Linked DNA regions of Mus musculus: regions 2, 3, 4, 5, 6 and 7 are each reported to be linked to region 1. The links are microRNA targets in miRTarBase. Many come from high-throughput screens and were not tested one by one. Region 1 holds a microRNA gene; each other region holds the end of a gene's coding sequence.

The links. Region 1 holds the annotated microRNA mmu-miR-19b-3p (UGUGCAAAUCCAUGCAAAACUGA, at 2,337-2,359, shown strand). A microRNA usually pairs through its seed, bases 2 to 8, with sites in the 3' UTR of a target mRNA and lowers its output. Matches are read on the target gene's strand: a 7mer-m8 pairs with bases 2 to 8, a 7mer-A1 pairs with bases 2 to 7 and ends in A, and an 8mer does both.
Region 2: the mRNA of Caprin1 is a reported target of mmu-miR-19b-3p. Seed matches in the 3' UTR shown: 7mer-A1 at 1,457-1,463.
Region 3: the mRNA of Msantd4 is a reported target of mmu-miR-19b-3p. The part of its 3' UTR that is shown has no 7-base or 8-base seed match.
Region 4: the mRNA of Sntb2 is a reported target of mmu-miR-19b-3p. Seed matches in the 3' UTR shown: 7mer-A1 at 1,023-1,029.
Region 5: miRTarBase lists Mtmr12 as a target of mmu-miR-19b-3p. The part of its 3' UTR that is shown has no 7-base or 8-base seed match.
Region 6: the mRNA of Pank1 is a reported target of mmu-miR-19b-3p. The part of its 3' UTR that is shown has no 7-base or 8-base seed match.
Region 7: the mRNA of Fam20b is a reported target of mmu-miR-19b-3p. Seed matches in the 3' UTR shown: 7mer-A1 at 2,889-2,895 and 7mer-m8 at 3,398-3,404.

The regions. Positions count from the first base shown.
Region 1 is chrX:52,739,578-52,744,349 of GRCm38, reverse strand. It overlaps Mir19b-2 (microRNA 19b-2), which reads left to right and starts at 2,284; the gene lies at 2,284-2,367. It overlaps Mir363 (microRNA 363), which reads left to right and starts at 2,583; the gene lies at 2,583-2,657. Mir92-2 (microRNA 92-2) reads left to right here and starts at 2,422; the gene lies at 2,422-2,512. It overlaps Mir20b (microRNA 20b), which reads left to right and starts at 2,158; the gene lies at 2,158-2,237. It also overlaps Mir18b, Mir106a and Kis2.
Region 2 is chr2:103,763,255-103,768,026 of GRCm38, reverse strand. Caprin1 (cell cycle associated protein 1) reads left to right here. Exons shown (of 19, transcript NM_016739.3): 19 at 1,164-4,772. The coding sequence ends at 1,228. Among named protein-coding and RNA genes, the nearest start is that of Nat10, 4.4 kb to the right of the region's middle.
Region 3 is chr9:4,384,066-4,388,837 of GRCm38, reverse strand. Msantd4 (Myb/SANT-like DNA-binding domain containing 4 with coiled-coils) reads right to left here. Exons shown (of 3, transcript NM_145609.2): 2 at 4,696-4,772; 3 at 1,948-4,099. The coding sequence ends at 3,524. Among named protein-coding and RNA genes, the nearest start is that of Msantd4, 9.9 kb to the right of the region's middle.
Region 4 is chr8:107,010,935-107,013,934 of GRCm38, forward strand. Sntb2 (syntrophin, basic 2) reads left to right here. Exons shown (of 7, transcript NM_009229.5): 7 at 358-3,000. The coding sequence ends at 450. Among named protein-coding and RNA genes, the nearest start is that of Gm22085, 2.8 kb to the left of the region's middle.
Region 5 is chr15:12,267,927-12,272,616 of GRCm38, reverse strand. It overlaps Mtmr12 (myotubularin related protein 12), which reads right to left. Exons shown (of 16, transcript NM_172958.4): 16 at 377-3,115. The coding sequence ends at 2,546. Among named protein-coding and RNA genes, the nearest start is that of Gm52210, 50 kb to the left of the region's middle.
Region 6 is chr19:34,808,610-34,813,381 of GRCm38, reverse strand. It overlaps Pank1 (pantothenate kinase 1), which reads left to right. Exons shown (of 7, transcript NM_001114339.2): 7 at 995-4,772. The coding sequence ends at 1,054. Among named protein-coding and RNA genes, the nearest start is that of Mir107, 9.8 kb to the left of the region's middle.
Region 7 is chr1:156,677,922-156,682,693 of GRCm38, reverse strand. Fam20b (family with sequence similarity 20, member B) reads left to right here. Exons shown (of 8, transcript NM_145413.4): 8 at 1,052-4,123. The coding sequence ends at 1,283. Among named protein-coding and RNA genes, the nearest start is that of Tor3a, 6.0 kb to the right of the region's middle.

The sequences.
Region 1 (4,772 bases):
GCGCCACCTGCCAGGGCGGGTCACTGGCAGATCCCCTACGCGCTTGTTCTGGATGACTGGACCAGGAGATGCGTACCTCCGCGGGCGCAGCTGTGATCCCAGAGAGTTAACTAAGGTGGGAGGGGATGGAGCTGGCAAGACTTGAGAAAAGCAAAGTACCTGAGTGTAGTTGAGGGGTGCCAGGCAACTCGTGAGAAAAGGACTCTCCCTTGTTGCTCTGAAGGTTTCTGGAGAACTTGTGGGTGGTCAAATGCCAGGGTGCACGTGGGGTGTGGGGCGGGAGGACTCCCGACCTACCTTGGTTTCCCTCCCACCAACCCGAGAATGGAGGGAGAGGCTTAAGCTTGGCGCGTTTTGGGGGCTTTGAATGGAGAACTCCGTTTCCCATAATGCTTTGTTTCTTTCTGTTTAATTTTGGTGGCCGCTAAGGTGTCTTGAAGACCTAAGCGCGTGGCATGACTGGCTGGAGCACACCCTGCGTTCCCAGGAGGTTCACAGATCTCTACTGGAGCCGCTGCTGAAGATGCGGGAATAGACCAGAGAAAATCCCGAAATGGTAAAAGACTGGGTCCTCTTTGCAATTTTAGAAGTTGTACAGCGACTTTCTAGTATATATGATGGAGAGCAGATGTGTTAAAGAAAGGTATTAGCTAGAAGGAGCTTTCTCTGGAGGGCTGAGGTATGGTTTTGCGAAGTTGAGTCAGGTTTTGTAATATATTTTTAGTGGAGGCAAAAATCTCTAGTTGTAGGAACCCAGTTCAAGAAGAAAAGTATAATAAGCCAATACTTGCACTATAGGAAGCAGATTTCATATTTACTTCAAAAGTTTTGCTAATTTATATTTAAAATGTTTTAAGAACTATCTTAGTCACTAAGTGGCTTCGAAAAGTTCCAACATTTAAAATATCCTTTCTCATTGAACACATTTCAAGTTTTGTGTCCCTGAAGTTTATTGGTGTCCCCCCATCAACACAAACATTCCATCATGGGAGGGAGGGAGCTCGTGACCCCTCAGACTGTCCTCTGCAGCATTTTCCTGGGTAAGATACACACTTGGAAATGAGAGAGGTTTTTCCTGTGGAAGATAATGACATGAAGCCAAAGAGCTAATCTGACTTCTTTAGGTTTAATGGAGAAAATGGGTCCATAAATGTTTAAACAGAAGTAGAGCCCTTTGAAATAGATGAAAATGTGACATCTCTAGGCCATCTGTGCGGTATGTGAAGAGTGTAAAACTGTTTCTTAAAGCGGCTCTGAAATTTCTATCATTTTCTCTTAATGGGCTGGGGGCAGGGATGCTTCATGTAATCAAACATAGAGACCTTCCGAGTGGCTCCCCAAAGCTCTGGATGAGCTCAAGACGTCAGTACTCACCCTAATGTTATTTATTTATTTTTTTGCTTACATCTTTTCCTGGGCTCTTGCCTCTTAGAAAACCATGGTGGATATTACAGCTCTGCAAATTTTCTGGGATGCGAATCTCAAATTTCCTTAGACGGAGAGGGAGTCCAAAATCCTCTTACTCTTAAGAGTCAGACATTCTGAGATTGCCAGTGTTATTCATGTTTAAGTCTGTGTAAATAATTGAGCTTATTAATGTTTGAAGTAACACAACCCCATTTGCACTCTTAACGGAAGGCAAACTTGTTTTAGAAATAGTAACTCACAGTTCACTTACTTGCTGTGTGTGTGTGTGTGTGTTTATCCAGGTGAGTCTGCAGATCTGGCAAAGAAGAGTTCGTGGAAGACTTCAAGGTTACACTCCTGGAGTATGCCTTGGCCATGTCAAAGTGCTAACAGTGCAGGTAGCTTTTTGAGTTCTACTGCAGTGCCAGCACTTCTTACATTACCATGGTGATTTAATCAGAGGCCGCTGAGTCCCCTGGTTTCTGCATAGTTAGATTGTGGATGTTTTTGAGCTGCTCCTTGTAATGTGTCTCTTGTGTTAAGGTGCATCTAGTGCTGTTAGTGAAGCAGCTTACAATCTACTGCCCTAAATGCCCCTTCTCGCACAGGCTACTTCTTACCTTGCATTTGAAAAGCATATCTTGAGAAATGATTTGAACGGCACAAGTTTCAAAGGCTCTTTCAGTGTTTCGCCGAGAAACAGATGGCGGAGACTGTAGTATACAGTTGTGTAGAAGAACAAGCTCGGATCCTAGTAGTGCCAAAGTGCTCATAGTGCAGGTAGTTTTTATACCACTCTACTGCAGTGTGAGCACTTCTAGTACTCCTGGATCAACCAAGGTCTTGTTGAAGCAACTACAGCGCAAGGACATTGCTACTTACGATTAGTTTTGCAGATTTGCAGTTCAGCGTATATGTGAATATATGGCTGTGCAAATCCATGCAAAACTGATTGTGGGAATGTGTACCTTTCTGCATCGTAATGGACACCTTTATGCACATCTTCAGCATCCATGCCCATTCATCCACAGGTGGGGATTGGTGGCATTACTTGTGTTAGATATAAAGTATTGCACTTGTCCCGGCCTGAGGAAGAAAGAGGGTTTTTAATCGTCTTTTAGTTTCTGAGTATTGTAAGTTATGTTAGACTGTAATTATGAAATGAACTGTTTTGCTGTTATCAGGTGGAACACGATGCAATTTTGGTTGGTGTAATAGGAGGAAAATTGCACGGTATCCATCTGTAAACCGCAGGACCTATGTGGACAGCCGTCTATCAGTGCTATAGTAAGATTGTAAAATCCTTTAGCTAGTCATTGCTTTGAACACATTTGGAGTGGATTTTTTTTTTTTTTTTTTGGTTTTTCAAGACAGAGTTTCTCTGTATAGCCCTGGCTGTCCTGGAACTCACTCAGGGTGGCCTCGAACTCAGAAATCTGCCTGCCTCTGCCTCCCAAGTGCTGGGATCAAAGGCGTGCGCCACCACGCCCAGCTTGGAGTCTAATTTTTTAAAACTACATATTTTTAAATATATTTGAAATCCTGACATTTTGATTGCACTGAATGTAAACAAACCTGAAATTTGCAAAATAAAGCTGATATATAAGTCTGAAAAAAAATGGGTTTCTTTTTTCTTTTTTAAAAGATTCTATTTATTTATTTATTTATTTATTTATTATATGACAAGTACACTGTAGCTGTCTCCATAGACACCAGAAGGTGGCATCAGACCCCATTCCAGATGGTTGTGAGCCACCATGTGGTTGCTGGGATTTGAACTCAGTACCGCTGGAAGAGCAGTCAGTGCTCTTAACCACTGAGCCATCTCTCCAGCCTGGGGCTCTCTTTTTTTTCTCTCTTTTTTTTTATTAGGTATTTTCCTCGTTTACATTTCCAATGCTATCCCAAAAGTCCCCCATACCCACCCACCCCCACTCCCCTACCCACCCACTCCCCCTTTTTGGCCCTGGCGTTCCCCTGTACTGGGGCATATAAAGTTTGCAAGTCCAAAGGGCCTCTCTTTCCAGTGATGGCTGACTAGGCCATCTTTTGATACATATGCAGCTAGAGACAAGAGCTCCGGGGTACTGGTTAGTTCATATTGTTGTTCCACCTATAGGGTTGCAGATCCCTTTAGCTCCTTGGGTACTTTCTCTAGCTCCTCCATTGGGGACCCTGTGATCCATCCAATAGCTGACTGTGATCATCCACTTCTGTGTTTGCTAGGCCCCAGCATAGTCTCACAAGAGACAGCTATATCTGGGTCCTTTCAGGAAAATCTTGCTAGTGTATGCAATGGTGTCAGCGTTTGGAAGCTGATTATGGGATGGATCCCTGGATATGGCAATGGCTCTCTTTTTAAATTAGCAATACTATTGGCTTTTCTAAAATAGCGTCTTGGTATGTAGCTCTGGTTAGCTTGGAACTCAATTTGTAAACTAGGCTAGCCTTGAACTTGCGGAGATCTGTGTGTTTCTGCTTCTAGAATGCTGAGATTAAAGGTAGGCACCCCTCCACTCCTAGACTTCCAGCATTTACATACATTTATCTATCTATCTATCTATCTATCTATCTATCTATCTATCTATCTATCTATCTACTTATTTAGTGTGTGTGTCATGTGGTGATTTGAGAACAACTGTAGGGAGCTAGTCATGTGGGTCATGGACATACATCTTAGATTTCTTAGGCCCGATGGCAAGTGCCCTTCCCCCACTGAGCTGAAAACAAATTTTATAGGGTATGTCTTGAAGGAACATTTGAATATAACTGGAATTTAAGTTTGCGTTGAGTCTTTGGTTTTATCACTACTGAAAACCCTGCCAGTCCCATCTCCAGAGAGTGACTGTCATCAGGTGAGCCCTCAGGATTTGCCTTTGTAACCCAGTCTCAGGTGCTGATGGTGCTCGCCCAAAGAACTATAGGTTAAAAAAAAAAAAACGCCCGGTTCTATTTTAAGTTTCAAATTCATAAAGTTGAAAGGACTCAGGCACATTTTTTACCCCACTTTCTCATTCTGTTTCATGTGTTAATGTTAACACTGCCCTGTCTTTGGTAAGTGGAAAAACTAGGTAGGTATGTGTTGGTTTTACCTATCTGAACATTGAGTTCTCATCAGAAGGGAGAGGTATCACTATGTGTCATTCTTTGTGCCTTGGAATTTCCCAACTTTGAAAGCCTTTTATTACTTTTTGGGGACCTCATTACATAGGTTCAATTTAGTTAGAATTTTTTTACTGAATTATACTTCACCTTTGAGCTAGTTCCCTAAGCTTCCATTTCATTAGGGAAAATACAGTGATAACATTGGTCCTACACCAGTGAGGTGGGGCTTCTGTTCTCCTTGGGAGGTGAAGAGTGGTCAA
Region 2 (4,772 bases), not on the chromosome of region 1:
TTTTTGAAACATGCATATTATATTTAGGCTGAGAAGCCCTTCAAATGGCCAGATAAGCCACAGTTTTAGCTAGAGAACCATTTAGAATTGACATAACTAATCTAAACTTGAACACTTTTAGGACCAATGTTAGTGTTCTAAATACCAACATATTTCTGATGTTTAAACAGATCTCCCAAATTCTTAGGACCTTGATGTCATTAAAATTTAGAATGACAAGCTTAAGAGGCTTTAGTTTCATTTGTTTTTCAAGTAATGAAAAATAATTTCTTACATGGGCAGATAGTTAATTTGTTGAACAATTACAGGTAGCATTTCATGTAATCTGATGTTCTAAATGGTTCTCTTATTGAAGGAGGTTAAAGAATTAGGTTTCTTACAGTTTTTGGCTGGCCATGACATGTATAAAATGTATATTAAGGAGGAATTATAAAGTACTTTAATTTGAATGCTAGTGGCAATTGATCATTAAGAAAGTACTTTAAAGCAAAAGGTTAATGGGTCATCTGGGAAAAATACTGAAGTATCAAAGGTATTTGCATGTGAATGTGGGTTATGTTCTTCTATCCCACCTTGTAGCATATTCTATGAAAGTTGAGTTAAATGATAGCTAAAATATCTGTTTCAACAGCATGTAAAAAGTTATTTTAACTGTTACAAGTCATTATACAATTTTGAATGTTCTGTAGTTTCTTTTTAACAGTTTAGGTACAAAGGTCTGTTTTCATTCTGGTGCTTTTTATTAATTTTGATAGTATGATGTCACTTCCTATTGAAATGTAAGCTAGCGTGTACCTTAGAATGTGAGCTCCATGAGAGCAGGTACCTTGTTTGTCTTCACTGCTGTATCTATTCCCAACGCCTCATGACAGTGCCTGGCACATAGTAGGCACTCAATAAATACTTGTTGAATGAATGAATGAATGAGTACTGGTGGAATACTCCCATTAGCTCTACTCTTCTTTTAGCCTAGAGAACATGAGCAAATTTGCACATGACAACTCCAAGGACAGGTGAAACTTGAACACTGAAGAATTGGCCTCTTAAGCCTAATAATGTGCTGACAAGCTGCCCACATGCTTCTTGACTTCAGATGAAAGTCTGCTTGAAGGCAAAACAAATAATACTTGAAAGAAAAATCAAATGCCATTTTTGTCTTCTAGGTCGTGGAGGGCCCCCAAGACCCAACAGAGGGATGCCGCAAATGAACACTCAGCAAGTGAATTAATGTGATACACAGGATTATGTTTAATCGCCAAAAACACACTGGCCAGTGTACCATAATATGTTACCAGAAGAGTTATTATCTATTTGTTCTCCCTTTCAGGAAACTTATTGTAAAGGGACTGTTTTCATCCCATAAAGACAGGACTGCAATTGTCAGCTTTACATTACCTGGATATGGAAGGAAACTATTTTTATTCTGCATGTTCTGTCCTAAGCGTCATCTTGAGCCTTGCACACAATACAATACTCAGATTCCTCACCCTTGCTTAGGAGTAAAACATTATATACTTATGGGGTGATAATATCTCCATAGTTAGTTGAAGTGGCTTGGAAAAAAAATGCAAGATTGAATTTTTGACCTTGGATAAAATCTACAATCAGCCCTAGAACTATTCAGTGGTAATTGACAAAGTTAAAGCATTTTCTTTGAAAGGAAGATGGAAGGAGTGGAGTGTGGTTTAGCAAAACTGCATTTCATAGCTTTCCCATTAAATTGGAGCACCGACAGATTAAAAGCATACCAAATTATGCATGGGTCCTTACTCACACAAGTGAGGCTGGCTACCAGCCTTGACATAGCACTCACTAGTCTTCTGGCCAAACGACTGTGATTAAAACACATGTAAATTGCTCTTTAGTAGTGGATACTGTGTAAGACAAAGCCAAATTGCAAATCAGGCTTTGATTGGCTCTTCTGGAAAATATGCATCAAATATGGGGGATAATCTGGATGGGCTGCTGCTGTGCTCAATGTGAACTATTTAGATACCTTTGGAACACTTAACAGTTTCTCTGAACAATGACTTACATGGGGATTGGTCCTGTTTGTCATTCCTCACCATAATTGCATTGTCATCACTAATCCTTGGATCTTGCTGTATTGTTACTCAAATTGGTAATAGGTACTGATGGAAATCGCTAATGGATGGATAATCATAACACTTTTGGTCACATGTTTTCTCCTGCAGCCTGAAAGTTCTTAAAGAAAAAGATATCAAATGCCTGCTGCTACCACCCTTTTAAATTGCTATCTTTAGAAAAGCACCGGTATGTGTTTTAGATTCATTTCCCTGTTTTAGGGAAATGACAGGCAGTAGTTTCAGTTCTGATGGCAAAACAAATAAAAACATGTTTCTAAAAGTTGTATCTTGAAACACTGGTGTTCAACAGCTAGCAGCTAAAGTAATTCAACCCATGCATTGCTAGTGTCACAGCCTTTGGTTATGTCTAGTAGCTGTTTCTGAAGTATTTTCATTTATCTTTTGTCAAATTTAACCCTGTTTGAATTCTCTCCTTTCCTCAAGGAGACACTTATGTTCAAAGTGTTGATTCTTTGCCTTAGGTGCATAGAGAGTAGACAGTTTGGAGATGGAAAGGTTAGCAGTGACTTAGCCATATGTTCTGTGTTGGAATTTGTGCTAGCAGTTTGAGCACTAGCTCTGCGTGCCTATGAACTGAATGCTGCTTGTCCCATTCCATTTTATGTCATGGAGAAATAATTCCACTTGGTAACACAAAGGCTAAGTTAATGTTATTTTCTGTACAGAAATTAAATTTTACTTTTAGCCTTTTGTAAACTTTTTTTTTTTTTTTCCAAGCCGGTATCAGCTACTCAAAACAATTCTCAGATATTCATCATTAGACAACTGGAGTTTTTGCTGGTTTTGTAGCCTACTAAAACTGCTGAGGCTGTTGAACATTCCACATTCAAAAGTTTTGTAGGGTGGTGGATAATGGGGAAGCTTCAATGTTTATTTTAAAATAAATAAAATAAGTTCTTGACTTTTCTCATGTGTGGTTATGGTACATCATATTGGAAGGGTTATCTGTTTACTTTTGCCAAGACTATTTTGCCAGCACCTACACTTGTGTGCTTTAAAAGACAACTACCTGGGATGTACCACAACCATATGTTAATTGTATTTTATTGGGATGGATAAAATGTTTGTGGTTTATTGGATAATCCCTAGATGGTGTGTTACGTGTGTAGAATATAATTTTATGATAGTAAGAAAGCAAAATTGAAGAAAATAAGTTTAGTATTGAATTTGAGTTCTGAAGTGAATTCAGGGAATGTCTCACGTTTCGGGCTTCTACCCAAAGTGTAGGGCAGAAGGTGTAAAAGTTGTTTGTAGTTTGACTTGTTTATTTTTTAAGTTGCTTATTCCTTTCAACAGCAACATATCATTAGCTGTCATTCTACCATTGCAGTTCTAGTGAGTTTTAACGTCTGCATTCAAGACTGTTTTAAAAGCAACCTCACTGGACAGAGAACTGCTAAAGTCTTTTCCTTAAGATCTGAGTCTTTGTTACTCAGTATCTTCTATAATATGCAAATGCTTGTCTAGAGGCAGAAGACCTTTTGTTTGGTCAAGTGTGTATTTTACCAGAGTACAGGGAACTGATGGTCCTACATGTCTCTTAGTGTAGTAAGACTATAAAATCTTTTGTACATGCACAATTCACAGTATGTTTAGATACCACGTGTATAATGCCCCCCCCTCCCCCAGGTAGCATGCCATTGATGACTTTTTGCTTAGGGCCATTTTATTACCAGGGCCTTAATATTCCTAAAAAGATGATTTTTTTTCATCCTTTCTCCTCTTTTGATCATTGTATCTTGATATTAAAAACATGACCTTCCAATGATTGTAGTAAATTAACTTCTATAGTTCTTTTGTCTCTATATGTATTCATATATATGCTATTGTATAGAGACTTCAAGGAGACATGGAGATGCATGCTTATTCTCAGGTTCATTCACTAAGGTGCTTGGCAGACAACCAGTTTCTAAGTGCAGAATGTAGTTAAGCAGCTTCATATATGTGCCAGGCAATTTGTTTTGTTAAATTTTCATCTACTTAAGGAAATAGGGTATTGTAGCTTAGGCTGATCATACCCTTCATTTCAACCTTAAGCTCTCAACCTGCATCCATCCGACTTGAGCTATTAAGTACTTTAGTTTTATCGAGTATAAGTTAACAGAAAAAGTAAATTAAGCTTTGCCTTTACTATTTTGAATTTATATACATTCTGGAAAAACTTAGAAACTGTTGTATATTTCATTAGATTAAATTATATGAAAATGTGATTGTTTATAGCAAAGCCTGTGAGTTGCATACACCCTAAGGAAAACTCCTTAAGTGCTCCTTGAAGAGAGAAGAAACAATTCTGGGTCTGGTCTTTTTAAGAACAAAGCTAGACTACTGTATGTTAGCACTGTACATTAATAGTCTGTTGTGAAGCTTGAGCAGTTTCCTGCATAGCCTTGATCCTTCACCGTTGGCATTGAAAATAGCAGTATCCCTGATGTACTTAAAACTTAAAGTCAGGTTTTGGTATATTTATTTGTAAGTCTTAATTTCCTCTAAATACTATATCTCTTTAGCGAGACAACCTGAAATTTATTAGCACATTTGGGTATCTCTTGCTTGGCATTATGGCCAGTGTTAACTATTCAGTGGTGAAAAAATTACCCCTCAAGACACTGGAGTGACCCCAGATGTGTGTAGTAAGTGGCATGGTTCAACTGTGTGGTTAATGAT
Region 3 (4,772 bases), not on the chromosome of region 1:
AGAAATTAGGGAAACAACACCCTTCTCAATAGTCTCAAATAATATAAAATATCTTGGCGTGACTCTAACTAAGGAAGTGAAAGATCTGTATGATAAAAACTTCAAATCTCTGAAGAAAGAAATTAAAGAAGATCTCAGAAGATGGAAAGATCTCCCATGCTCATGGATTGGCAGGATTAACATTGTAAAAATGGCTATCTTGCCAAAAGCAATCTACAGATTCAATGCAATCCCCATCAAAATTCCAACTCAATTCTTCAACGAATTAGAAGGAGCAATCTGCAAATTCATCTGGAATAACAAAAAACCTAGGATAGCAAAAACTCTTCTCAAGGATAAAAGAACCTCTGGTGGAATCACCATGCCTGACCTAAAGCTTTACTACAGAGCAATTGTGATAAAAACTGCATGGTACTGGTATAGAGACAGACAAGTAGACCAATGGAATAGAATTGAAGACCCAGAAATGAACCCACACACCTATGGTCACTTGATCTTCGACAAGGGAGCTAAAACCATCCAGTGAAAGAAAGACAGCATTTTCAACAATTGGTGCTGGCACAACTGGTTGTTATTGTGTAGAAGAATGCGAATCGATCCATACTTATCTCCTTGTACTAAGGTCAAATCTAAGTGGATCAAGGAACTTCACATAAAACCAGAGACACTGAAACTTATAGAGGAGAAAATGGGGAAAGCCTTGAAGATATGGGCACAGGGGAAAAATTCCTGGACAGAACAGCAATGGCTTGTACTGTAAGATCGAGAATTGACAAATGGGACCTAATCAAACTCCAAAGCTTCTGCAAGGCAAAAGACACTGTCAATAGGACAAAAAGACCACCAACAGATTGGGAAAGGATCTTTACCTATCCTAAATCAGATAGGGGACTAATATCCAATATATATAAAGAACTCAAGAAGGTGGACTTCAGAAAATCAAATAACCCCATTAAAAAATGGGGCTCAGAACTGAACAAAAAATTCTCACCTGAGGAATACCGAATGGCAATCACATCATCCTGAGTGAGGTAACACATTCACAAAGGAACTCACACAATATGTACTCACTGATAAGTGGATATTAGCCCCAAACCTAGGATACCCAAGATATAAGATACAATTTGCTAAACACATGAAACTCAAGAGGAATGAAGACTGAAATGTGGACACTATGCCCCTCCTTAGAATTGGGAAAAAAACACCCATGGAAGGAGTTACAGAGACAAAGTTTGGAGCTGAGATGAAAGGATGGACCATGTAGAGACTGCCATATCCAGGGATCCACCCCATAATCAGCATCCAAATGCTGACACCATTGCATACACTAGCAAGGTTTTATTGAAAGGACCCAGATGTAGCTGTCTCTTGTGAGACTATGCCGGGGCCTAGCAAACACAGAAGTGGATGCTCACAGTCAGCTAATGGATGGATCACAGGGCTCCCAATGGAGGAGCTAGAGAAAGTATCCAAGGAGCTAAAGGGATCTGCAACCCTATGGGTGGAACAACATTATGAACTAACCAGTACCCCGGAGCTCTTGACTCTAGCTGCATATGTATCAAAAGATGGCTTAGTAGGCCATCACTAGAAAGAGAGGCCCATTGGACACGCAAACTTTATATGCCCCAGTACAGGGGAACGCCAGGGCCAAAAAGGGGGAGTGGGTGGGTAGGAGAGTGGGGGTGGGTGGGTATGGGGGACTTTTGGTATAGCACTGGAAATGTAAATGAGCTAAATACCTAATAAAAAATGGGAAAAAAAAAGAGAGAGGGAAGGGGAAGCTGTGATCAAAATATACTGAATGAAAAAAATTTCAATTTAAAAGGGGATGGAGTAGATATAAATTGTATGTCTAGTGTGTAGTTCAAAATTTAGCACATAGGTTTCCTAACCCACTTCTAGTATTGTTTTCTCTCATGCTAAATAACATATAACTCTGAATGATAAACTTTCAGACAGGAAAATTTATTTCTAAGGTAGAAGTATTTAATAGAATTATAAAAAAATAACACTATGTCAAAATCAGAGTAAGTAATCATGTGTATAATTTCCCTTTGCATACCTATATTCAATCATGGTTTCTAGCCATTCTTAAATTAACAAAGAATACAGAATCAAGATAGTGTGTCAACAGAAGTGTTGTATTAAAGCTATCAGCCCCAGAAAACAGAAAACACAAAGTGAATTCGTGCAACCACTTGCAACTTTGTTGTGCATGAGAAAGTACACTACTGAAATAAACCACAATCAGGACACTGTGGGCAAATCAGCAGGCGAAGTCTGCCCTTTGCATTTAGAATTCCCAGGTTTAGCCATCCTGAAGGGGTAAAGATAAAAACACAATGCTATATAAAGTATCAGCCGTTTACTTTCTGCAGGATTTCTCTGAATTTCAGATTCTGGAGTCAGAAGGTACCTTTTCACAGACTCCTGTAGATTTTAAGTTAAGCAAGATCTTCCCTAACAATAACACAGTTACTACTATCATTTCAACACCACTGTCACTGATGCAGAGGATATTTCCCCCATCTCTCAGTCTCAAATGACTATTCTTCACTTAGAAATCAATCGACAATTCATTGGGTTCCACATCATGGATTTCTGTTACCTTTTTGGCACTGGTACCATTTTTACTAGCTTCTATCATTCTCTTACATAACATTTCAGTACATGACTGAAATGGTTAGTTCTGTATAAAAACTATGACAACAGCTTCAAAGAAGGGAGAACTAAAGCTTTCCAGTCATGTGTTGATTCTTGAAGGCAACTGCCTTTCAAAATGACACATTTTAAACAATCTCAGATGCTCCCAGGTTTCTAAGTCTCAGTCTATTGATAGAAAATACCATTTGAATAACGGACCTACAATCTCCACCACTCCCTATATTCAACATACTACATAGTAATGTCTCACAGTTAAAATGGTTTTGGCCGTTTAAGTATCTAACCACATAAATATCTAAAGTTTTAATATTCTAAAACTATAGAACATAGCTATAAAGATGCACAGTTAGGCCAAGTGTACAGTTTTTCAAACTTGGCACTAATGACATCTTGGACTGGGTAATTCTTTCTTGTGAAGACAACTATGCTAAACATGGTGAAGCCTCTCCTGAGGCTGGTAGCATCCTACACCCATTTACTTTGACCACCAAATAACATCCCATAGTCCCAAATGTCTTCTGGGAGCCCAAACTCCACTGGAGAATCACTGGATAGAAACTTTACTACAGACATCATTGTAAACTTGGGGTGCACAAATAAGACAGGGCTCTATGCAGTATTACTAATGTGGAAGTGCCTATCAGATCCTCTGCTATTCTGTTTGTGTTGGGCAGAGCATTTATATAGTACACTACTGCAGCACACAGCTACCAATGTATTCCTATCTTTTTCCTACTAAAAACACTGACATTAAACAGGGGTGGTGATGGGGTAGCTAATCCAGGACCACCTTTGCATGAACTGAGGGGGAAAGCTACAATTCCTCATTGTTTGCTAAGCCCAGGAACAAGAACAGTCAAGGCAAATGCCCTTCTTTCTGAATCCGCAGTCTCTCCTTCTCCACCTGCAAGCGCTCCTTTTCTATCTGCAGCTTCTCTGATTCAAACTTCAAAAATTGCAGCCGATCTTTTTCCAGCTGTAGACGTTCGCGCTCAAGTTTCAGCTTCTCTGCTTCGATGTCCTGTGGCTGCAGCATGGACTTCTCGCCCTGGCCCAGCTCGTTCTCTAGAGCCGGTTTCTCGGTGCTGACCAGCTGCAGCCTCCACTTTTCTCTCTCGATCTGCAGCCTCTCCTTCTCCAGCTGTAAGCGCTCGTGCTCCAGGTCCAGGTGGCGCAGGCGCTCTTTCTCTATCTGCAGCCGCTCCTTTTCCACCTGCAGCCTTTCCGCCTCAATATCAAGTCGGCGTTTTTCCAGCTCCAGCTTCTGTTTCTCTATGTTCATGAGCAGATGGGGCTCATCATAGGTGGGTCTGGATGGTGTGGAATTGAGGGTGAAAAACTCATCAATGTGAGGGAAGTCAGGGAGCTCGTTTTCCCTCCTGGAATCTGGTATGACAGATGACAGCATCTCTTCCTCCTCCTCAATCTCAAACTGACAGAAAAGAAAAAAAACGCGAATTTAGTATTTGCTTTCGTCATTATCAGTTTGCTCCATTACTGGTCTTTTAATTACTATTATTTCATTTCTTGCTTATTTGTGTACATGTATATGTAAGTGCAGGAGAATGTGGGCCATTGCGCAAAGTAGGGTTTTTCTTGTTTCCCATGAGGCAAGCTTGAAGCTAGCAGACTGGAGGCTTCAGGGCTATTCTCCTAGGTCTGTCATAGCAGTGTTGCTGTTACAGATGCATGCCACAGCAGTCAGCTTTGAAGGGAAGTTGCAGAAATGTCAGGTTTGTGCCATTTACACACTGAACCTTCTCCCCAGACCTGTCTCAAGATTGTTTGATGGCCTTTCTAGGCTGTTTGAGCACAAAAAAGTTCTTAATCTCAACTATTAAAATGATTTAAAGTACCCAATGTCACTACCTTGTATCACTGAGGTAATTGATTACATTTAGCTGAGAGAACAGACATTAAATAAGGTCACCAGGAGAAAACAAAAGGATTGTTATCTATTGTCTGTGGTCTTCCTCAGCATGTCTGGATCACTGATAAAGAAAGCATGGGTCACAGGGTGATACTTACTTCTGGGCTCTGAGGATCCCTTTCTTCCTCTTCCACTTTGACCTCTGTTAAGGATCCACCTGCATCCCGGAAATCTG
Region 4 (3,000 bases), not on the chromosome of region 1:
CTCCCAAGTGCTGGGATCAAAGGCGTAAGCCACCACGCCCGTCTAAGATTGCTTTTTAAAAGCAAAACAAAACAAAAGTGAAACATCACATCTAAATGTATTTAATACCATTGTTTATAAAGTGTGTGTAGAACTAGAGAGATGGCTTAGCAGTTAAGAGCACTGGCTGCTCTTCTAGAGGACCTAGGTTCAATTCCCAGCATGGATATGGCAGATCACAATGCCTCTAACTCAGATTCCTGTGGATCTGACTCCCTCACACAGATATATATGTAGGACAAACACCAGATGTACATGAAAGAAAGAAAGGAAAGGAGAGAGAGAATTACAGTGACAACTCATGTTTCTTCTCCACAGACTATGGACCTGCATTCTTGTCCAAAGCCGATTGTATTTGTATTGCACACGTTCTTATCCGCCAAAGTCACTCGCATGGGACTGCTTGTGTGAGCAGCAAGAGTGAAGAAAGAGCTTTGACTGTCACAAGAAGTATTTCCACCTCAAAAGATGAAAAGAAAGAAAAAGCAACAACAAAGAAGCACAAACAGAAGCCCTTGCTCCTGCCTCCATCACAGTGCCTTCCTGAGGACCTGCAGACCACTGCTGGACCACAACAGGGTTTTAGGAAGGGCCGACCTTTCCCACACAGCCTTGGTCAGAAATTCTAGAACTGTTATAAGCTCCAAATGAAAGCTATTGATTTACCGTCTTATTTCATAATGTGATCTCAAGTAATCAGGTTTCTTTTCCCTGTTATGAAGTCTGGCACTTTGGGTTTCTCTTTGGACATAAACAGATAGCCAAAAGGGGCTCTTCTTTTCTTTGTGTAGGAATCATTTGGGTATAGCCTTGAGCTCTTCCTGGGATGACTGTCGCTCTCCGGTGCTAGTGTGCAGCTGCCGTCCCTCAGGCACATCCCACACAGGTCCTTGCACCACAGTGACCCCGCCCTGTCCCACCCTCCCCACCTCTATCTGGCACCAGCTCTGCCACCCATAAGTGCTGCCTTTAGGACTCAGAACTTGCACAGTCTGGTTGCCTTTGCCTTCACTCCCCTTTTTTGTGGTGTCCAAGTTGAAAAGCAAGTTGGAAATGCTGCCCGGAAAGAGGAGTGTTGCTTTCTTTAGTTTATATTGAGTTTATATTTGGTAGGAGCCAGGGGATGGTCTACAGTTTATTTTGAAAGATCCTCATCTTACGCTAAGCCATTTCTTATTGCTTACCAAATGTGCCTTTGGGTAGGGTCAGTGGAGCTTTATTAGTGACTGTGGGATGACCGGGTCTCACTGCTGTTCCTGGGATCCCAGCTGGCTTTCAGGAGTTGTCCTTGAGGTCAGTTCCTTAGTGGCATCTTTTGGTGGTGGTTTTGTGGGTCACGTTAGCTTTGTAGCACAGATGCCGTTTTGAGTGACACAGAGCACGGGGGCTAGGAGAGGTCCTGGCACTGGTCTTTTGTGGCCCCAAAGTAGTAAGGACAAGTCGCCTCCAGCTCAAGGTTAACGTTGGTTTCCTAGCGCCCCCTGGGTGGCTGGGACGATGAGAGCGAGACCATGGTAGTCACCTGCATTTTGTTCAGCACGGCCACATGTTGTCATGACTCAGGGTAAGTGTGACCTGGAAGACCATCCTGTTTGTTTCTCCTGAAACACTCTACATAAAACCTCAAGATTAGCACAGCTCCCGAATCTGAACAAAAAGGAAATATTAATATCTGATATCTTCTAGAGGTTTTCTAACCTCTCTGAAAACATGTCTAGAAACAGCTCTCATGTTCTAGATTTCTCTGGAGTGCTACACAGGGATATGGCTCTTCAAATGGGGTAGAGGGTGAAAGGGAAGAAAACATAAGTATTTGTGCAGAGCCTGAGCTGCCTTGATTGGCAGGGTAGCCAGAGGAAAGAGCAGACGCCAAGCAGAGGTGTCACCCTGCTGTCCTCCGCTGTCAGTGAGTCAGGCCTCCTGCTCTGCAGTCAGACTAACAGTACCCAGAGGCTGGGGAGAAAGTCTTAACCCTGAGATAGGTTCCATCCCTGATACATCTTCAACTCAAAAGAAAAAGAAGAAATGTCCCAGCTCTGAGTGCAGAAAGCAGAGCTATAGCAGTAAGAGAGCTCTGGCTCCTGCCCCACTGAGCTGCGGGTGTGAAAGGCGGAGACACCAGGGAGACTGACAGGAGCCTCTGCCCCCTGTTCCTTAGAAGAGCTGTAAGTGGGTAAGCTGTGCTCTTCTTCTGGCTGAGGCCTGTGGCCCACAGGGTTTTTAATACTGTCATTTGAGGCTTATAAAATGAAGGCTTATGGGTGATTTTGTTGTCATTAGGAGCACCAAGAGCAAGGTCCTAAGCTGCTTGTTCCAGAAGCTGTAGCAGCCCCAACCCCCGCAGGTGGTCAGTTAGGAATTTTAAACCACAAGTGGAATGCTTTTTGTGAGTGTGGGACACCTTGATACAAACCTATATTATCAATTTTGTACTCAAAAGCCAAAATATAGCAAACTATTTTCAAATGATAACTAAAAATGGGCATCTTTGATAATTCACCTCTTTTTATAGAATCAGCTATATTGTCTTTAATTTTTCATCTTGAACATTATTGGGGATGTTGTGGGCTCCTGGGTGTGAGTGGGCAGGAAACTGTGGAGCGCCTCCTGTTGGATGGGCCACTTCCTAGGCATCTGTGCATTCCACACAGTCCCAGGTCATCCTGCAGATGAGAGCTCTCCTCCCCATAAGAAAGAGGACTAAAGGAAGCTCATGTTACCAACAAGCCTTGCCTAGAAATTGGTATCAAATATTTTATATAAAGAAATGCTTGTGTGTATATGCCATATTTATTAATAATTGTAACTAAAGTCACTGACCTATAGACAGTACCAGGTTAAATATTGGGATATGTATGGGCAATCAGAAATGTTACTTTAAATGCCATCTGCCTATTTTGAGGCCATGTTTGGCACTTTTTAGACTAGGGTAAGTCTGATAATACCTGGTGGGGTTTTGTC
Region 5 (4,690 bases), not on the chromosome of region 1:
AGACAATTTAAAGGGGTCAGTTCTTTCTGTTGGGTCCTGGGGACTGAACTAGGGCCCTAAGACTTGGTGGCAAGTTCCTGTACCTGCTGAGCCATCTATCTCATCAACCCTCTTCAGAGCATCTTATTATCATTTGGAATTTTGAGTATTTGTCTGGATGCTGGTTGCCTATCACCAGCCAACCACACGAGTGTTCATACATGCATATACGCAGAGGATAGGAAAGGGTGGAGGTGTGGGGGTTCCTGGAAAGCACAGCTTTGTGCTTCCCTGGGCTCTGCCTGCTGTGGGGCCTGCCAGAACCCAGGACACGTTTATCAAGTCCTGAACGAATGAGGAGGATAAACTAGGAGCAGACCGTGCACACCAACCATGGCGCTGTTTCAAAGTTGTGCTTTAATCTCTGCAGTCAGCTCCAATGCAGTGAGACATGTATAAACTTTCATTAACACCCAGAAAATAAACTGCACAGTGAAGCTGACTCAGTCTAATAGCTTAATCCCTTAAATTTTTAAAATTTAATTAAAGCTAGTTTATCTTCAGTGTAAAAACATAGAGGTATAAACAAATGCAAGTGTTATACACAGTAAATTATTAACAGACACTTCCAAACTTGCACAGTGTGTTTTAAACAAATGGTCTTATTGTATCTTTTAATGTTAAGCATAATCCACATCTCAATCTTGAATAAAAATACACAATATATAAACCCACGGGAAGTTCTGTACACAAATCCAAGTTATAGAAATCTGGCTTCAAATATAAATACATAAGTCATAACCACACAGGTCATAACAGCTTATTTACTTTTTCTATTGTGATTTAAAAAAATAGAAAAATATTTTAATGCACATTCAACTGCTATACCAAGGGTCATGACCATGTGCCTTTAAACCATACGTTGTGAAGTACAAAACATCACAAGAGGCATTTTTTGGAAAGAAAATCACTAAGACTGTAGAGTCTACCATATAAACATTCACGTTATAATATGGTAACAAAAATAGTTCTCTCCGCTGAGGACTTGGGAGGCAGAGGCTGAGGGTGTGGCAGAGGCTCAGGGCGTGGCGGTTAGTGCTAGTTTAGAGAAGCCCAAGGAGCCCAGGGAGAGGGAGCTAAGGACTGGTGTGTTCTAAGTTCCTAGCGCAAGCCTAGCACGAACCTGGCCTGAAAGACTCTTAAGGCAACCGAGACTGAGTGCATTTGTCCCCAGAAACACAAATCCTGACCTCCCCTCAACTTGCTGGGTCAACACACCAACCCGGATTGTGCATTATTATGGAGGGAGACGAGGAAAAATTATCATTATGTATGAAAGATGATTCAGTGCAATCAGAAAGGATTCTTTGTGAAGTTTCAAAATGTCTTATTGCCCATGAGCAACAGAGACGCCCTCAACAGGACCTCTCCTGACCAGCAAATATAGATAAAAGGCAAACACTTGAGGCAGACTCAATGAGGTCCCTCGCCCACTCCCACTCTTCACACCGTTTGTGGGACTGAACAGGGCTCTGTTGAGAATGATAGGACTGAGCCTTACAAAGGATTCTTTCAAACATTAAAAAAATATATATCTTTAAGACAGCAGATCCAAGGTGACTAGGCAGAGCTGGGTTTCTTCTATGGCTTTTGACATCGCTGAGGCATATATGAGTGATAACTGCTTCTGACACGACCGCTTTCCTGTGAAAGCCACATTCGAATTGGCCTGCCCACCCCAGCATCTGTGAGGGTAACGGGGAAGGCAAGGGGACCAGCTGAGGGGCTGCAGAGAGGCACAGTCCAGGTGTGGTGAGCAGAGGGCCAAATGTGTGGTCAAAACTGAGGGCTCCAGGAATGAGCTCCCCTGTGGAAGACAGAGGACTGCCCCCAGTTTAATCAACAGGTCACAGCAGCAGGACCCTGGGACGATGCACACCAAGGTAGACTCATAGGATGGTATGCATAGAGCAGGAAAAGGGAAGGTGGGAGTGACAGCAAAGGAAAAGGGAAGGAGGCTGCCCGCATCCTGTGTTGTTACAGCCCAGGAAGGAGGGGCTGAACATTAGGATGGATGACACCAGCAGAACTGTCCAAGTTCTCTATGGGCTGCGTGTGTGTGTGTGTGTGTGTGTGTGTGTGTGTGTGTGTGTGTACACGCACGCATTGGAATATGCTATGGTTTAAGTCAAGGAATATGCTATGGTCTAAGCACATCCCTGAATACCTCTTGTTCGGAATGGCTACATAATTATCTTGGCACAGAAACAACAGGAGGGAGCTCTCACAGCAGCCTGGCCGTGAGCCATTCTGTATACATATAATACAGATGTCAGGAGACGACCCCATCCTATGACAGGTCAAGGAGGAACTCCGTCCTATGCATACTAGAGGCATGGCTTTCATTGAATGTCTTCCAGAACTGTGGAAGAAAAGGAGAACAAGCTCTCTTCCCAAAAGCCTCTGCTCTTTCCTTCACACCACTGGGCTAACACCGTGACACCAGTCCAGGGAACAACTGTCCCACCATACAGTGTGCCTCTTTCACAGTCCCTGAGGAGACAGGTCACACGTCCCCTAGGTCCACAAACTCATCTTCTCGTTTGGCCAGGTCATCTTCGCCTCCTAAAGCTTTCCAGCCACTGGTGGGTAAGACAGGCTTGGCCGAATGTCGCTGGAGCAGTGCAAAGGGGAACAAGGAAGACAGGCGGACTGAGTTCCTGAGCAGGCCGGGTGCCTCTGCATGGACAGCCTCCTGCCTGTGGTGTCTTGCCTCTATCTTCTCCTGCAAGCTCTGCACTTCCTCCATCATCTCTAAGAGTTTGCCCATGGTGGCCACTCTGCCACCACCCAGGATTTGGGCTTCTGGAATCCAACGTAAATAGCGCTGAGCCCACACCTTGATTTCCGGCCCCTCAATGTGAGGCAACAACAGGCCGTGGTAGTCTGTGGGCTTGCTATGCCAGCTGTCGTAGAACTCCCTTGAGCTGTCCTGGAGGTCATCGGAAGAGTTAATAAGTTTACTAATTCTCTTGCCTAGGAGGTTCTTGATTAAATGATCTGTTTCTTCCCTGAAAAATCCTCTTTTGGGAGATGACTTAGACTGGGTAAGTGGCAAAGAAAGTTGTCGTTGATGCTTTGGAAGAAAACACAAAAGAATATCTGGTTAGGAGGCAAAGTCACAGTTATTTTCATTAAAATAATAATAATGATGATAATAATAATTAATATAATGAGCATCACCATCCTGCTATGAGCAGTGTTGAGAGACCTAAGAACTGCCATCTCATGTGTATCTATTCAAATACACAGTGCACAGGAGAGACTGCCTGCTTATGGTGGCAGTGAGTGATCTGTGTGATACACCATCAACAAACAAGAGAAACCTGACATACGTGGGGCTGCACACAAGGCATGCTGGGATAGACTGGTCCTTCAGAGAAGGGTACAAATAGACACAAAGTACTTTGCAGGAACCAGTTTAACACATGCTAGTGATTAAGGGCAGTCTTGGGGGCTTTTTGAGACACAGTTCTGCTATGTCGTAGCCTTGGTCAGCCTGGAACCCTCGGTCTACTGTGGAGAGCACTCTGGTCAGGAGGAATCCTTCTGCTTCTGCCTTCCAGTCACTGGCGGTACAGGGGTGTGCCACCACTCCGGGCACTGCTTGGTTTGTTTTTTGTTTTTTTTGAGAGCTCTTCTCTACAGCCTCTTCTGCACATCTTCAAGGCATCAGCACTGACTACCTGAAGATATCATCCCAGGGACAAAATAACCTTTTAGCTTATCAGGCACTCAGTGGAGTTCTAGCTGAAGTCATGTCTCTCTTGAACAAGGGCAATCAATAGAGAAATGCGCTCACTTGGCTAGACAGTCTTGTCTGACAGGCTGCTCAGAGCAGGAAACATGGGAGCATTTAAGTTTTGTTCCTGCTTGCTAACTTTCTCTGGAATAAAGTTAGGTATTACATTCTGGGTACACTGTGAGAGGGTTATGAAGACAGGTCAGAGGTTGTGGGGACTCATCAATGTTCAAAGGAAAAGGCACAAATGCAGGAAGAGGAATCTTACAGGAGAGCAGTGGCTGATGCCCATAACTCCATGCTTGGGAGGCTGAGACCAGACACAGCCAGGAGCTTAGGGCTAGCTTGGATTACACAGGGAGTTTTCATGTGAGCCTTGCAATGTTGCTCACCCCCACCCTGCCTCATTTACACAGCCTGCAATCCTGCCCTCTGGCTTGAATCTTCCCTCCCAACCTCTTCTGGAGCTGACATTACCTGCCATTGTCTCTAAGAAGAGACAGTGAGGACATCAGATAAGGGGTGCCTAGCTGTCCGAGCAGCTCCTTGCCCCACAGGTACCAGTCAGTTCTGTGACTCTAGCCCACTCTCTAGAGGACAAGCAGGCTGCCACCAGGGGGCACAGCACACCACAGAAAAGCACATCTTTGCATAAGATGCAGCAAGCAATCTTGCTCTACCAACAGAAAAGGTTAGCATCCTGGGCCTGAGGACAGCTAAGAAGGTGACATGACAGGTCTAGTGCCCAGCAGCTGACACTGTCTCCAAGTGCTGGCCATGGCTCACCTGCATCCAGTCTTTCTTAGACTAGAACCTCGTTCCACGCCTGAACCGGTAGGGCTCCCAGAGGCCTCGAGAATCAGGCAGAACAGCAGTGGGAAAGCTAATGACACGCACAGGTGTAGACCT
Region 6 (4,772 bases), not on the chromosome of region 1:
AAAAACCCAAAGTTAGAATTCAATGACCCAGTAGCAGCACTTCTGTGTGGTTATCCAACACGTGTGAAGTCAGTAGGAGCTGTCCCTGTGATTGACAGTGATTTACACTTAAATGTAAAGTGCTTGGAAAAATTTCTAACATGTGATAAGAATTCAGAAACTGCCTTAAAGGTCCTGACTGATCCACGCCATCTCTAAGGTAACTGCTGAGGCAGGCAAAACAGGAGCTGTGTCTCCCTAGCCCTTTGGGCACCAGGTAGCTAGTGGACTCAATGTTTGTATGCCATCCCTTCATACACTAAAATCCTAATCCCCAAGATGACAGTGTCAGTAGGTGAGACCTTGGGGAGGAGACTAGGTCACCAGGGCTGAGTTCTACAAAGGAATGAGTGCCTTTATAAAAGAGGCACTCTCTGCTGTGCCAGTTCACGGTGACGACCGAGTCTGCCAGGAGCCTGGCTTTCACAAACACCTTGACTTTGGACTGCCCTGCATCCAAAAAGCTATGAGATGAAGTCATAGTGTTTATTTATTTTATAAGCCACTCAGAGTGTGGTATTTTGTTACATATAGCAAGCCAATGACTAAGACGCTATTTCCTAATATAGCTGAGTTTTAGAAACCTTCATTATCAGAAATATGAGCTTTTGTTTTATAAGAAGGCAGTGCCAGATACAGTCCTAAGCACTTTTCTATATTAATATAGATAAATATACATTCAGACTAGTGATAGTTATTTGATTACTTGGTCTTGAGTTTTTTTTTTTTTTATCCAAGAGATCAGTGTTTGTTTTGTGTTTAGGGAGATCAACTGTGTAGACTTGCTTGTGCTAAACACAGGCCTTGCCTCTAACCCATATCTCCTGTCATGAGTTCCGTTTCTAATGTTATAGATCTGTAAAGTGCAGGGCAGCCTTCCTAGAACTAATGAACGCAATAGTTCTTTGGTTACGGTTCAGGAACAACCCTACAGGAGTTCTCCGTGTTTTTGCAGGGTTATTTTGGAGCTGTTGGGGCCCTGTTGGAACTGTTCAAAATGACCGATACACAGTAGAGGAACAGCCCCTCGTGCGGACAGAGGACTGACGGGCCTTGCCAGAGAAGGTGACATCTCCGTGGGGCAGAAACCAAGCCACTATGGTGGATGAACCTGCTGTATTTGTAAATAACCTAAAATCCTAGACCTTTTGCTCTTAGCTTTCAAGCTTATGATACAAAATGGGGAATATAAGAATTTTTTCTGTATACTGTATTTTTAAAAAAAAAAAAAACAAGAAATTGTGCAGCGTGGCCAAACCTAACCAATTTCATGCATTAACTTTGAAAACTTGTATGATGTTCATTCAGAGGGGCCTGAAATGAAAGCGCTGTCCATTTTTCTTCTGGGGTTTACTGATCAGTGTGGTAATTTTAACTTCATTTAGTAATTACTCTAGGAGATTTTGCCTTTACTTATATTTTTTCATGACGTTTCATGATTTGCTGTTGGTTTCAAATGAAACTACGAATCTGGTATGTTGCACTGTGAACACTTTGTTCTCTCTCTCTCTCTCAAATCTTTTCTGTTGCAATGTCTTAGGACAAAAAAAAAAGAAAAGAAAAGAAAAAAGGATCCCCCCCTTCTGTTTTTGTTCCTCGTGATTTCTCTCTTCTCTGTCTGTATGCTTTTCTCATTGTAATTGCTCCTGTCAATCAAGGTGCTGACCAACTCAACACAAAGTTAAACACATATCTGCAGTTCTAAACATGTGACCCTGTGAGAAGACTTTAAACGAAGGGGTTAATGAAAGTGGCGAACATTGAACATTGTGTGCAGTTTTATCTTTGTCTTCTTACACCCCTCACCACTGTCATGTCCCATCGGATTTACTTTACACTACACTGTAATAGTCTGAGATGACTTGCCCTCATTTGCATATGCCGTATGAAGGGCAGCAAACCCCTGTATAAATTTGGAGGGGCTCCCATAGCTGATCTGATTGATCACCCCAGACTCAGGGCAAAAGTACTGGGTCGAGATATCAGTTAGAAATAATGGTCTGTTTTATATATGTTTGTACCTAGGAAGGGTGTAACGAGATATCCTAAGTAATAATGTTGAAGATTGTTTCTTTTTCTTTTTCTTTTTTTCCTGATTTCTGTTTTAGTATTTAAACTGAGATCGGTACTTTATTTCATTTCTAAAACTTTAATATAATTTATGATACGCTCGCATATATGGACATTTCATCCTGAGAGGTTTTCATTAAGATAGATGGGTCACTTTCAAATGAGGATGTTGTACACACGCCGTAACAGGAGATCTAGTGATCTTTTGGATCAAGGGTTCCCTTCCAAGGGCTTTTTGAAAGGCTACTCCTTGGTCAGTCTTCACCTCTCTACCTTGTGGAGCCCCGCTCTTCATTTCCATATCCTTGAGTCTTGAAGAAGCTGATGCTAATGGAAGAATTCACTTGTCTGGTTTAAATAAAGCCGGTTTGTGTTGGGATGTTCTTAGTGTACATGTTATTTTCATTTCTTATACCTCGTCTGTATATTTATCTGTTTTACATGTAAAGTAACTGTATGTTGATGTTGTGGTCGCTGCTGCTGTTTTCCTTTCTGCTACATAGCTCGTAACATGAGGCTTCCCCACAAGTGTGTGTGTGGGGGGGTCCAAACAGCCTTCAGCTATGGCTGCAGGCCAGCAGAAGGATTTCTAAAAATTGTCCTTTATTGCACTTTTATTATTGACTGCTTAATGCCAAAATACCACTGTGATTTTTGGTGATTCTGAACCAGTTTCAATTTTTTTCTTGTTACAAATACACTGTCAACCTCTACTTAGCTTTAAAAGATTCACTCAACTACAGTGTTCTCGAAAGACATTATCTCTGTATTATCTACCCTAGTGCCTTTTAATGGTCTCTCCTCCCTTCTTTAGTCTTTCAGGGGACAGCAGACCTGAGACCTGAAGGTCGTGGTCCTGCAAAGGAAACCAGGGCAAGTAACTGTGCCTATATGTTTATTAATCATCTGAAATCACTTGGTCTCTCCCTACCAACATCCAGAAGCCTGGAGCTGGGTGTGATGGTGCACATTTGTAATCCCAGCACAAAGGAGGCTAAAATAAGAGTATCAGTGTGAGGTCAAGGCTAGCCTGGGCTATATGGAGTTCCAGGCTAGTCTTCATATGCACCCCACACCACTCCCATCCCACCCCGTTTATTTCTTCCTCCCTCCACCCATCTCAGTTCCTCAGTCTCTTCCTCCCTTTCTTTTCCTCTCCCTCTTTTATTCACACACACACACACACACACACACACACACACACACACACACACACATACACACCACACACCGTTGATATAGATCAACAGTTCTCAGTCTATGAATTGTGAACCTTTTGGGAGTAAATGACACCTTTGGGAGTCAGACAAGTCACTGGGGTAGCGTATCAGATATCCTACATAGCAGATATTTACATTAAGATTTATAATAGTCGCAACATTACAGCTATGAAGTAGCAACAACAAATTTCATGATGAGGGGGAGGGGTCATCACAACATGAGGAGCTGTAATAAAGGGTCACAGCATTAGGAAGCTTGAAAACCACTGGTATAGATGAAGAAATAAATTTTCCATTAAGTTATCAACCCAGAGTGTTGGTTATATAGAGCTAACTTGTTTTTATAATGCCCTCATTGTGTCCTGAAGATTTTTCACACTTTTAAAATGACTTTCCTTAGATTCACCATCACAATGGAATATGACAAGAATTAAAAACAAACAAACAAATAAAAACCTTGTGCTATGTGAATCAGGAGAGTCAGACACTGAGGAGTGTGGCTTGCTATTGTGAAATAGCTCCGGTTCAGATACAGCTTAGACAACGACTAACTGAAAACAAGTTGCCAAAATTCTCTTTAAACTCAAGTTTGCTCACCTGTAAAATACAGCAAATAGTTTTACATTCATGTTTTAATATACATTAAAATGTGTCATCTGTGTTTGTTGTTTTTTTTTTAAGATACTTTAAATCAATGACTTAAATAAGTCATTCCACGCTTTCTCAGTTGTGAAGAGAGACATGGTACAGAAAGAACCCCATGATGGAACGTGACCACAATTCTAAAATCCCACACTCTCAGAGTTTGCCATCATGATCGACTTGGCGGCCAGAGCTGCTTGGGCATTATTATAACAATGAGACGCCTCCAATACTCTGTAGCAGAACTGTTCATGTATGATTTCAGGGCAGTCTTTTGGGGGTGGTAAATGATAAAATGGTTCTGAATTTTATAAAGGATGGGTAGTCTTGAGAATTTCTGTTAAGATCAATCATATGAAGATTATTACAGAGTCACTCCAGGTTACTTAAAAGAGCTGGGGAGGGATTGGAAACCAAGGTGAACAGGATACAACCCCGCTGCCCAGCAGAGTAGACAGCAAGATTGCAAGGCAAAGTGTGTAATGAGACAGAGACATTCATTCTTTCCAAATGCAGCAATAAACGAAGGGAGGTCCCATGCTCACAAACGTTACATTCTAGAAGGAAAAAAATAGGTCCTTATATAATACATAATAAATATATAATGTCATGTTACATCACTGCCACAAGGAAAAAGTAGGTTAAGGTGATGTTCCTTTTATTGGGGAGAATAGTTATATGATAGAAAAAGAGAAGGGAGGAGACTCTTTGATGAAGTTGATCAAAGACAACCTCTCATTGGAAATGGCCTGAACAGAGACTTAATTGAAAATGGAACCTGCCGGGCATGGTGGCGCACAC
Region 7 (4,772 bases), not on the chromosome of region 1:
GTGCCTGCCTCCTTGCCTGCCTGCCTGCCTGCCTGCCTGCCTGCCTGCCTGTCTGTCTGTGGGACTCTGCTCCTGAGTGCAGTGCTTACAGAAGCCAGAAGAAGGCATTCAGAGTGAGTTCTGAGAACTGAACTCAGGTCCTCTCCAAGACCAACAGATGTTCTTCTTTGCCGAGCCATCCCCATCCCCACCCCATCCCATCCCAAGAAAGTAGTCTCTGTGTTTTGGTTGGTTGGTAAGTGTTTGTTGTCCTTCCTTCCTTCCTTCCTTCCTTCCTTCCTTCCTTCCTTCCTTCCTTCCTTCCTTCCTTCCTTCCTTCCTTTTGGTTTGGAGTGTGTGGGGGTGGGGTGGGGGTGGAAGAGTTTTGGGACAAGGTTTCTCTATGTAGTCCAGTCTGACCTGGAACTTGCTCAGTAGTCAAAGGTCCGCCTGCCTCTGCCTCCCAAATGCTGGGATTAAAGGCATGTGCCACCACACCCAACAACAACAAAAAATAGATATTCTTTAAGTAACTGTTCTTCTTTTATTAATGGTAGAATTTTTAAAGTTCAGAAACATTTGAGTAATGAAGTTAGAGTCCCCCTAATACCTAAGGGTAACTGTTAGCACAGTGCACCTCACTCTAATCCTGTAGTCTCAGCACTCTAGTTACACACTGTAGTTTCCCCAGGGCAAGGAATAAAAGAGTCTTTCTAACTTCCTCAAGTCTAACATAATATCATGGGCTTTTCCCTGTGCCACTCAATTTCAAACCTTTTTAATGGCTTCGTGGTATTTCCTGAGAGCTTAGGCATAATTTGAAGTATCTCTCAGTTGTTAGACATTTAGATCGGCTTGGTTTTTCTCTTACTGTTAGGAATATGTATACATTTTCATGTATATAATTACACCCTCCTCCCCCAGTTTATACCATGGCAGTACAGCTTGCTTCTAATATACAAGCAAGTCTGAAATAGAGGCGATTCAAAGAAACAGACAAACAAAAACCTTTCATAGCATGAATTGAATATTAAGATGTTATGTAATTTCTTTTTTAAACTTTTTCTTCCAGCATTCGGGTTTCAACCTGGAATAGACTGAATTATCTAAAGAATGGAGTACTAAAGTCTGCCTTAAAATCTGCCATGGCCCATGACCCCATCTCCCCTGTGCTCTCCGATCCACACTTGGACACTGTGGACCAGCGGCTTCTGAATGTCTTGGCCACCATCAAGCAGTGTACTGACCAGTTTGGGACGGATACTGTGCTGGTGGAAGACAGGATGCCACTCTCCCACTTGTAATTCTCAACGCAAAACAAGTGGAACTGATTTTACAAAGATAGAGAAACAGCACAATCAATTCCAAATGGCATGCGATGGTCTGCAGGTGGCCACAGTGGGTGCTGGTGGCAGAAGACGGTGGCGGCCCTGGGAGTGCTCGGTGTTTTCTGCAGTGCAAGCTACGGACCACAGTTAGGCTGCCTCACCTCTCAGGCGGCCAGCAGCAGCTCTGCTCAGTCTTTATTCCCACACCAAAGGGCGAGCAGGTGTGACATTGGCTAAGGAAGTGTTTCCAGAGTGTGCGTCTCGGGTGACCCTTGCTGTCTTTTCTCTACACCCATGGATTCTCTGAAAATACTTTGCAGTTCCTTGTGTCTTAAAAAAACACAAAAACAAAAACCAGAACTAGTCAGATTGAAACCATACTGTTCCTCCAGAGCGGCGTTAGACAGGATAGCGGTCCGCACCGGGGGCCGTGTTTAAGGGAGATTGGAGGAGGGGAAAGGCGGAAAGGTCTTGGGACTCTAAGCTATTGGGTGGCATGGATTTGACATCTCAGGGAAGAGAAGAGGGAGGGACTCACTCTTTAGAACCAGGAAGATAATTGACTTAGTGAAAGACAGCTTCCCCTCTGTTTAGGTTCTCAGATATGTCCAGAGCAAATTAGTCATCCCCCGGTTGTGTTCATATTAACCACAATCATCTCTAGAGGAAAGAGTATTACAACCCAGGCATGATCCTCTATGGACACTAACTTACCCCATGTCCACCTTTGCCCAAAAACACTGAAACTGTGCTCTCTGCCACCTGCCCCCCACGCTTTTTCTTTTTCTCTCTTTGGCATTGTTCATTTTGAGGTAGACCATAGACTCTAGCCCAGGCTGATCTGGAGCTTACTGTATAGCCCAGGCTTTGAACTGGCCTTAGCCTTCCACATGCTAGGATTATAGGTATGAACCAACATGCCCAGCTCTCTCTTCTCTCGTGAAGTCATACCCTGTGAGTAACTGGCCTGTAATGGCGCTCTTCCTAGGACAGTGGTGACCTTGTCTGTGCCGGTGACTGCACCCTGCAGGTAACAGTGAAAGCTTTTAAGCCTCTGAGCCTCGAGACTGGGGAGATTGAGTTTATACCCCCTAGTCTCTCACATTCAAATCTAGTAGCCTGTAACCACTTTTAAATGGCTTGAAATTAGGAAACTTGTACATTTAATGTACACTTTGCGGTAGATTAAGGAATATACTGCATATTTCTTTTTTTAAACTCGGGATATTGAACTTCAGAAAACAAATATTAGCACAAAACACTAAAATAGTGTTAACAAAAGGAGATATTGAGCCAGGCAGTGGTGACACGCACACCTTTAATCCTGGCATTTGGGAGGTAGAGGCAGTCAGATCTCTGTGAGTTCAAGGCCAGCCTGGTCTACAGAGTAAGTTCTAGGACCAAACCCAAAAAATAAAGCAAAAACAAAAGGAGGTATTAAGTCCAGTTTCCAGGCTACTTGCTGTGTACATCAAGAAAATTCAGTTGAATTCTGAGATTAGCATGGTTATTAGCACTTTATGCTGGGAGCCAGCAGAGTGGTGGACTTCCGTGCTGACTAAGCTGTGGCTCAGCATTCCATTGCACACTGGTGAAGTGAGTAGGGATTGTTCCCAGGCAAGCAGCCGTACTCGTCATGTTTTCTGCGGAAAAGAACAGGCAGGAAAGCTGCTCCGAGCAGTTAGAGAAAAGCCGCCTCACACTGTGTTTCACACTCGGGCAGTAAGTATTGTAACGCCGGCCTCTTTTTGGGTCATTTACTAGATTAGGACTATTACATCCAAGGCACTGGGGGATTCTGGTGGGCTCCAAATTAGCTTTACTGATTGAACATCCACAGAGATGGAGGCATTTAATACAAAACCAGGAACTCCGAATCCATTGCTCTTTCCTCCTTTGCTTTCACTTCTTAAGTATATGTGTTCTGAAGTTGAGATGGGAGAGATTTGAATATAGAATTTTTATTCTCAAACTGTTTAGTCATCTAAGGCTTCATTGTACTTCGGGGAGAGCTATAAGTAACTCACCTTTAAAACAACAGGCTCTGATTTGCTGAAGAGGTTTGGTATTTTTTAAGGTATGTCTCCCTGTTTGCACTCAGGGTTAAAGTGTCAGACTAAATTTTTAGAAGAAAACAGAAATTCAGGTGTGTGTTCATTATAGGTTATTCAGCAAAGTGGACCCTGACAGTTTCTCGGTTTCCCCAGTGCTGAAGACAGCATTGCCATCCAAAGAAACTCACATTTTCTTTAAAGCTATCACACTTTGTCTTCTTATCCCCTGCTTCCTGTTCCTTCAGCCTCCCTTCCCTTTCCTTCCTGGATCTCTGATTATCTTGTGATCATAGCACCTGCTGTCGGCACACTCCCGTGAGTCCTGTGGTCAGGGTTTCAGGATAGGAGGTGGAGGTTTGGGTTAACGTGGGAAAATGTTCTTGCTTTGACACAAGGAAGTACTGAGTGGCTGCACCGAGAAAGGACTTGGCTAGTAAGGTTAGAATGTGCATCGCGCATAGCCGAGCAGCCTGCTAGCAGGTGACACACTCCGTGGGGGAGGCTCTTCTCCCCTTCTTTCTCTAGTCTGGGTGGTGAACGGGCTGACACTGCTGTCACTGGTTCTTAGGACCTAAGGTGGTCCTCATAAACTCCTGGGGGAAGCTGGGAGCAACTTCCTGGGAAGCTAATTTATTTGTCTAAAGGGTGGTGTGGGCATCACCACCCTTGTTTGATCTGCCTTGGATTTCCTCTTGGAGCTTATGTGCAGATAGAGGTTGTACTTGGTAAGATTTCTAATGTGTTCTATGGGTTTCAATTCTGAAAAAAAAATAAAAGATTTTAATATATATTATTGTATAATGTCTTCTGGTTAATCTCCCCCCACCCCCAACCCCATGCTTTCTATGCCATTTCTATTCCTACTGCTGTTTTTTAGGGAGAGAATGTTACATCCTTTATTTCTGCTTAACCTTCCATAGGGACTGCTTCCTGTGGTTGAGAGCCTTAGACTTCCTTACGAGCTTTTGAACGGCCCACATAGATTGTACCTGTTACCTACAAGTCGTCCTAGGACTAGTCATAGGACTAGTCGTCACGGGACTAGTCACAGGACTAGCTGCTAGTGTTTCCTGGATGTTCAGTAGTTTCCTTCTTCCTTGTAGCTTCTTGGAGATGAGGAATTATGAGTCCTAACTAGGACTTGGCAGCGCACTACACTACAGACAAGAAGAAAGGACCAGTTTCCCTGATTAGAATTCTTAGAATACCCAGAATTTACATTTTTGAAATGGAAATCTAGTATCTAACCCCTCAGCCAGACAAGTATCGTTTAGATTTCCTCTCCATGTGCTGCATAAGTGTGCCAGCCTTGTCATTGTATTTGAACAAGGCACATGGAGACCAAATTCTGGCATGCGTTCCAGTTCACCACATACAGATTGTATCAGTTTTCTATTATTGTGATAAAACA